2 linked regions of the Coturnix japonica genome follow. The protein of the gene in region 2 interacts with the protein of the main gene of each other region in a pairwise test. Links are inferred from orthologs where the notes say so. Each region holds a gene or a part of one and is shown on either strand. Other genes may lie near its edges.

Evidence for each region.
Region 1: the proteins of FAM13C (region 2) and CCDC172 interact in binary tests that used the Homo sapiens proteins (3 or more experiments, as listed by UniProt). The two-hybrid records come from large-scale screens. The link is inferred for Coturnix japonica from reciprocal best matches to the Homo sapiens genes FAM13C and CCDC172.

Annotation. Positions count from the first base shown.
Region 1 is NC_029521.1:25,610,328-25,614,898, reverse strand, and holds the start of CCDC172 (coiled-coil domain-containing protein 172), read right to left. Parts: upstream 2,989-4,571; 5' UTR 1,924-2,988; coding exon 1,845-1,923; intron 1,604-1,844; coding exon 1,518-1,603; intron 1-1,517.
Region 2 is NC_029521.1:71,130-74,952, reverse strand, and holds part of FAM13C (protein FAM13C), read right to left. Parts: intron 2,420-3,823; coding exon 2,269-2,419; intron 1-2,268.

The sequences.
Region 1 (4,571 bases), about 26 Mb from region 2:
AAACAAGTTTGAACTCAGGCTCATCTGCTTGCTCAGGCATAGGCCCCTGTGCATGTACACACTTGGATATCTGTGCTTCTAAAGTGCAGTTATTTGGTGTGGGATAAATTAAACAGCATTACTGAACATTATTTAATGCTATCTGAATTATATTAAATATTGTAGACACACATAAACTTAATTCCTGTACTGAAAAATAAATGACTTTTAATAATTTCAATATTTATGTAACCTTTAAACCTAAGTACAGTCTGATTGAAATGCATTTTTCCATTCCACTTATTTTCTGTATCGTGTCCTATTTATAAATGAATCAATGTCAGAATAAACAGGCAAATAAAACATATTTTTGTGGATACCAGATAGAATACTAGGTGGCTAAGGCACTCAAGATTTAATTAGGAACAGTTCTTCAGCTCTTCCCATTAGTCATTTACAATAATAGCTCTACTCCTGGGATGCTCTATACCTTCCACATAAATGTTGATTGTAAATCACGCTGCATCAATAACAAATTAGCAGTATAAACATGAAATAGTGTTCATAAATAAATGTAGGAGTGATACTACAAAGGGCTTTACCTAACAAACATCACTCAGATATAATGTGTTGGCTAAATAAGTTACTGTGTTAAAGGTCTTCTGTGGCATGCATACATGACCAACTGCTTGCAAGATAATAGTCTCATTTTACAATCAGTGAACATTTGTTTATGAATTTCTTTATCTGATCATCTCATAGCAATGTCAACATGTGTGTATGTGCTTATATGTATAAAATGCATAACCCTTAAAAATGACAGAAGAATCTGGTTTTGGAAGGATGATGATCATCCTCAAATCATCTATGTGAGATAATCCCCCAAAAGTTTCTTGAAGGTGTTTATTTAAATGCACAATAGTTCTAACTTCAAAGGAGACTCCATAAGCTTTCCTGTTGTGCACACACATTCCATCAGCACAGATACTTAAGTACATGGGGATGATAAGTAGACTTTATTTTTCAGGCACAAGCAAATGGATTTTTAAATCATTTGTCCTTATAGGTATGAATGGTGAAAGGGCTCTGCAAAACTGAATGGTTAATCGAAAACTATGTCTGCAGTTTGGTTAAACAGAGAGCATAGTAAAATGTTAAAAGTGTTGAATAGGTTTGGAAACTTCCTCCTGTCTAGACTGTCCCTAACAAAACTCTAAGGCCTGGCACAGTGCTGAGCCCAGGCTCACGGGAAGATCTTTAGTATATGTCTCAAGGTCTTGTGAAGTAAATACAGTGAATGTTTCCACATATTGTCTGTGAAACAAATAAGGCCTTTAAGGAATGGCAGTGGGAAACACGGGAATGATTTCCAAACCTCTAATAAATTCATCTTTTAAATGAAAAAGTGCTATAACAAGTTCCAAGACTGCTCAGACTGAGCTGCTCAAACTGTCCACAAATAGATTCCCCAAAAGAATAATTCATGTGCTTATAAATGCAATGTATTCCTTATCTGTACTATAAACGTTCCTACTTACCTCAGTTTCTAATTTTAGCGTTGCAGTGTTCAGCTCTTCTTTTAGCTGGTTATTTTTTTCATGATATTTGTTTATTTCAAATTTAACTGCAAAACAAGGAAAACCTGTAAGCAGGTGTGGTCAGTTTGTAAACCTTCTGTTCTTGCAAAGCAGCAGCGCTGGCAAGAAGTCCCAGAACATCTGCCTGAAAATCTTTTCCAACAAAACTCCCCTCATGATTTCACAGTGGTGCCACTCCACATTTGTTGGGATGATCCCGGAATATGGAGAGGCCTTTCACAGTGACTGACACTGTGGGACATGCAAGATGGCGGGCATGGGGCTAACCTTGTTGGATGAGGCGCCTCTTCTCACCCGCCTGCTTTTCTGTGAGCTGAATTTGTTGGAATAATGTATCCAAGTTCATTTCTGACTTGTGGGCAAGTGCAGGTATGTGAGGGCTCACTGCAATGTGCAGGGCTGGCTGCTTGAAGCCAGGGAATGCACTGAGGGGAGGGCAGAGCAGGTTGGGCCCACCTACAGTCCTTCCCTCAGGGCTCTGCCCCAGACCCTGGTTCTGCTCTCCAGTCTCAGCTTCCCCACAGGTGGCTGCTCCAAGGCTCTGGGGAGAAACTACACCGTGCAGGGATGCCACCTGGAAAGATGACCACAGACTGTGAGAAGTGAAGGCTCAGGGTGAAACTTCAGGAAAGGGAAGAGTGAAAAACTGGGTCAGGAAGAGAGCAATGGCACAGCCCTGCTGAGGGAGCCCACCCAGGAAACACACGAATGGAAATGAGCTGTCAGAGGAGCAGGAGAATAGATTCAAGAGAAGGATGTTTGGGGAGTCAAAAGGCCTCTGACCGTCTGAATCTTGTCAAACTTGTGTGCATTTCTGAACCCTTGATTCTCACTCAGGATTCAGGGATTTTTGATCAAACAGCTCTGACTTTATTTCTCTAGGGCCAAATACTTTATACTGTTCTTGTGGTGTTCAAAAGCATTTCTTTTTTTTTCCTTCCATCTTCCTTTTCTGTGGAGTGTTCACCATCCATTTTTAATAACATAGCTGTTCAGATTTATTTGTCTTTTGAAGATTGATGCCTAACCTTAGCGGTTATGGAAGTAGGCTAAAATCTGCAATTGTCATACAATTCCCAAGAAAATGGGAAAACTGACTACATAAAAACAAAGTTAAAGTGATTAGGCTCAACTCAGCTGCATCACTGTTAATGGGAAATGACAGCACTTCTTTCCCAGTCGGGCTCTGTACACAAGGATCTGAACCCAGCCCGTTGTATGCTATTCTGGGGCAGCCTTGCAGATGAGATTACTATGCTCTGAGCTTCTGCAGCTTTTTGATTTGTACATCACTGGATCGAATACCTGGAAATGTAAATAGCTGGTTGAAAATATAATTCATATTACAGGATTTGTTCTTACACCTTGAAAAAGACTAACTACATTCCCTGCAGGACATACCTAAGCGAAGTTGGCCTATTTGCTCTGAGGCAGAAAAAGCCTAGAGGAAAGGAACTTGATATCCTTCCAGCATTTTCCACGTTGTGAAAGATTAGAATTATTGACACTCTGTCTTGTTAGAGTTTTCCTCAAAGGAGATACTGTCTTTAGAGTAGACTGCAGCAGAAAAAAGAACAGAAATTAGGAGCTCTTTGACTACAAGAAGCAAAGCAATATATGTGAAAGTATAAATGCCTTAATGCTGTTCTAAGTTAGTAGAATGAAACAGAGAATTTTGTATAAATGTTATGTTGTGGCATTTACTACTTAAAAAGCACCACATTATGATGGTAACATGCTATGAGACTGTGCTTTTAAAAAGAAGATGTTGCTCTATGTAAGACAGAAAATGAGGGTTCTGGTGAAATGTAAAAACCTGAGACTAAGACATTATGTTGCAGGAAATGCAATTATTTCTTAAAATGGAGCAAAGTGCAACTGAAGGAGAAGAGTTCACAAAAGCGAATTTAGAAAATGTTACAGAAATGAGGCTTGCTACCCAAAGGCCAAAGCAAAAGCAGATGAGTCAAATGGGAGCATTTGATGATTGAGGCAGCGATTTGTTACACAGGTCTGATGACTGAAAAAGTCATTTCACAGAATTCAAGAAAATGAACTGCTCTATCAGTGGATCAAGGAGAAAAGAAAATGAAAAGCATTCTTTGAAGTTTTTGAGACTTGACTGCTTTTGTATTTCAAACTGAAAAAGCTGCTCTAGGCTGGGATAGTGTTCAGTGTCCCTTGTTAAAGAAACGACTGTTTTTTTGTGAAGGGTTCTTCAGTGTCTAATTGTGGCAAAGGAACTGCTCATCCTAGAAAGAAGAGTCTGGCTCCAACTATACTTCTCACTGTCTGAGAATGACCATTCAGCACCATTCACAGTTCTGTAAAAGATTCCTTCAGATACTGGGGGAAAAAAAAAAATCAAAGTGGGACCGGTCATTGAAAAAAGACTTGATGATTTTTGACTCCTGCAGATATGTGCTTGATTTAATGCTGTAAATAACTCATCAGTTCAGAGTCATATTAAGTGAACCATGCATGTACAAATGCTTCAGATTCAGGATAAGAGCCACTATTTCAAAGGTGTGTAATTTCCTAGCTTTCACAGGAATGGATGCGATGGTATGAACCTAAATGCTTCAGAACAGAAGTAAAATATGAAATACCTTTGCTTGACATCCACTTCTGTCTGGTATAAATCTTTTGTAAATCACTTGCTGTTAGGAAGGTGACTTTAATTTTGCTCTTCCGGTCATATCAGTACATCCTAATCTTAATCTATATCTGTATCTTAATCACTGTGCTGCAATCAGGTCATGCCTTTCTTGTGTACTTCAAAATTAGTAATTGCCCTTTGTAATCAGGCTTCTGTGTTAATCATAAAGTTTCTTCTATGAGTTTTTTCTCTTGTTTGTGTCAGAAGAAGGAAAGAAAGAGTTTGTGTGTAATCTCAAGTCAGTATAAAAATTTTATCAGTGTGATTTATTTCTAAATTTTATATGCTCAGATTATTTTAAAAATTGATTTTCTGAGAGTTGAAGATGGAAGAGG
Region 2 (3,823 bases):
ATTTCTGTTTAGTTTAAGTGAAATAATAATACATCATCTGTTGTCTATAAAAATAAATACATTGATATAATGTGTTTCAACATTTGTGACATATGTTGAATGCAGCAGCTTGCTGCTCAAGTCACATGTATACTCACATCCAAAGAATATAACTTATATTCTGCTTTTCTCTTTTTCTAGTTAAGAAATCTTGCTTATTACCCCTTTTCAGTTCTTCATGGACTTATTTTGCCAGCTCTAGTTCAATTTTTTCCATATCCAAAAGGAAACTGATGACTCGTTTCAGCAAGATTTACCACTGATCCCTTAAAATTTGTACTGAAAGTAGCCTGTCATTTTAACAAACTGCTGGGCTTTCTTTTAACCACATATGTAAGTGTACATGTATATATTTTATGAAATACATTACACAAAGATATATTAAAAATATTGTACATTTTTTTTCTATTGCCTGATTGATTAAGCAGAAGCGAATAACTAGACACATGGTGAATACTGTGCATCCCCTATATAGTCTGTTTCTAGACTGGTGCAAGTCTTTGGATGTCCATCCAAGTTCAACCTGAAAAAGCCAATAGTCTCATGTGACAACTGTACCTAAACTCAATGAATCAGATTCCGTTAATAATCTGAGAGACAGAATTAAGACAAGCACCATCTATAAAAAAAAGGAACTCAATAAGGAAAATTCAACCAATCACAGCACAGGTGTTAGAACTGAGATTCTATTAAAATCCGTTTTAATAAGTAAACTTCAACTGAAGCACAAGTTTGAACTGCCAGAGGGACAGAGCATGCTCTGAACTTCATGGCAGGAATGCCATATCATCCAACATTTCTGTGTGTAGATGGAGATGGGCAAATAGGAGCTAGAGAGAACACCTGAAGTTGGTGTTCTCTACCAATCTAAAGCAAAAGCAAATAATGAGAAAATATAAATTAAAATTAAAATTAAAATTAAAGGAAGCCTATTATGAACCATCCTAACAATAAATTGCAAACTACCACAACAAAGTAATTTGGTAAACTACATGAAGAGGAGGAAAACTCATCCTTGACATAAAGGAAGAGTCAGTGCAGAAGGATGGTTTTGGATGGGCTGCAAAATGTCTCTTCTTGTGCAGCACAGTTAATAAATCTTTGTCTGCCTTAGATCCACAGCAATAACACTATTGAAATTTCAATACCTGTACCCACAGCCATTAAGACGTTTGCATAGCTGGGCAAAAGTACCCTTTTTAAAGCTAAAAACTCCATACTCAAAGCAACAGGAAATGCAGTGTTCTTTACATTCCTTCTACTTGATCATAATTTGGATTCTACTTATCATTTCCCTTAATTTTCCAATACAAACATCAAACTTAAGTACATATAAAAGCTATAATTTGTCATCTTTTTAGGTATATAACTTGCTGTTATTTCTTGCTGAAAATTCTAAGCAAACAGCTTTAGAAATAAGTTCTTTTGAACCCAGCATTTATTCAGACATAAAATGTCAATTGTACAGTGATTAATTACCTATCTGCTTTAATTTGGACCATATATGGTCAACAGTTTAAGTGTTTGTGTATTCATGTCACTTGTCTGTGAGATTTATTAGTCATATTGCCTTTGGCCTATTTTTCACGAACCGTGATTCCTCTCCCAAGCATCACGACTATCAACCCAGTGACTAGAAGCTATGAATTGACAAAAATAGTGCAGAGCCTCTGGGCTATTTATTGCAAGGACTGGTTTCCATACTGAGGAAAGAGAGAGGTAACACAACACAATTTGCCCAGATGAGTAATAATAGAGAATCATGAATGATTAAAATGCACATGCTGTTAAGAATCACCTTCACTATCTCTCCGCTGATACATTAAACTAAAATCAATAATAGGAGAAATGAAGTGATATTGGTCTGACAAAAAGAACGACAGAAATAGAATTACATGATACGGCAGAGGATCTCACACAATACAGGCACAGGAGACAAAAAGCATAAATTCATTTGAATAAATAACAGACAAACTGAATAGAATCAGGATTCTTAAAATCTATTTGAAAGATCAGATTTCCCTTGCAGAAAGACAGAAGGCTATAGCTCTTTTTATCTGATCTTTTAACAAGTATCACCCCTTTTTACATTAGCGTTTCTATCAGGAAACGGTGCTTTGCATCAGCTCGGCACTATTTCCCAGAGGACTGCAAATCTGAGATTAGACTGCGAGTCACAAGGCTGTTTTATAATTGCAAATGAGAGCACATCATGACACGATCCCTTACCTCCGCTACTGGCCCCATCAGCTTGCACACTGGTTTGGACTGAAGAAGGGGCTGGATCCTTGGGTGCCGGCAGCTGGGGAGTTTCCTCCTGGGTTGGCAGAAACGCAGAGCACAGATCGGTTTCGAGCGCTTGTAGCTTCAACAAAGAATTCTGCAGACAAAAGCAGAACATTGGGCTAGATAGAGAGCAACAAAATACAGCGATAGCTCTTCAACTCACTGAGCCCATTAGGAGCGCCTGCAAAGGGGTGTTCCACTAGCAGCTCTGAGGATGTACAAAAGAACAAACAAGCACTATTCCACGAGTTTCTTCACTTCTGGTTATTTAAGTCCCAATTTAAATGGATTATTCATGACACGTGGGAAAGATGACATCGTCAGCAAAAGACAATTTATTCTAGGAAGCCAAACTGAGATGGTGTCCCTTTTTTCTTGGTCCTGAAGCAATACACTGGGTAAGTATTTCATTCATTGGGCTGACATCACGATCTGATGACATTATGTCCCTCCCCATTTACCATTCATTAAAAAAAACACACTCTCCCTCTTCAGCCTATTGTGCAGTACATAGCAGTGAACAAAGAGTTACTGAGAACACGCTGCCTCATGGGATTCTTGGAAGAGATATTACTTAATTGGCTTTTTTAGAGATGCTTCCTCATGTAGACACTGCTTTTATGTAGGTGGCTGCTGCTTCTGCAAGGCAACCAGATCATTTCCTATCTGCTGCAAAGGCAAAATTAACAGATCATTGTCACTTACTGCAGACAAATCAATGGGGACAAGGCTAGTTATCTATATCATCACTCCCAGCTACAGTGTCATGTTTGGTCCATTTCTCATTTTAATCTTCGGTGCTGTGCGCAATACTCAGCTGTACAATCTGACACAAGTATCTTGCTATGATTCAAATGCTGTAAAAGCCCTAATCACCATTCAGCTGGGTGAAGTGAGTCACTATTGACATCCAGTGTATTCAGCTTCCCTTCCTCAAGGGAAATAGAACTTGCAGCATAAAACAAAAACACATACAGCTGTTTTAATAATCAGGCAGCTGATACATTCAGAATATACATAAAATGTTAAATTGCTCACATAGAACATATTTACAGAGAGCGTTTTCTGAAAGAAATCTGAGATACAATACAAAGAAATCCCTTGAGTTTATACCCTAAAAAGGTACTTTTCCTTCTGCATCAAAGATCAGAAACTAATGTATTGGTTCATTTAATGAAATAGTGAAATTATTTATTAGTGTAGCTTAATAGATCTGCTCATTATTATTTAATTTTAACAGAGCACTTTTATAAGTCTGAGGGTGGCAGTATTTTTGGCTAGGAAAAATAAAGGCAAGTGAATTTTACAGAGAACAGCAGGGAAGACTTTCAGCCTTGACCTTTTTGTTCCTTACATAGAACTCAGGCAGTGAAAAGGGAATAGAAAGGAGCTATTTCAAGGAGATACTTCAAAACAGTGAAGTTTGGAAAAAGCAAGAAGTGAATTTTCCCCATGAAATTAAGGATGCTGTCTTGAAGGGATACTCATGGCACTGGTT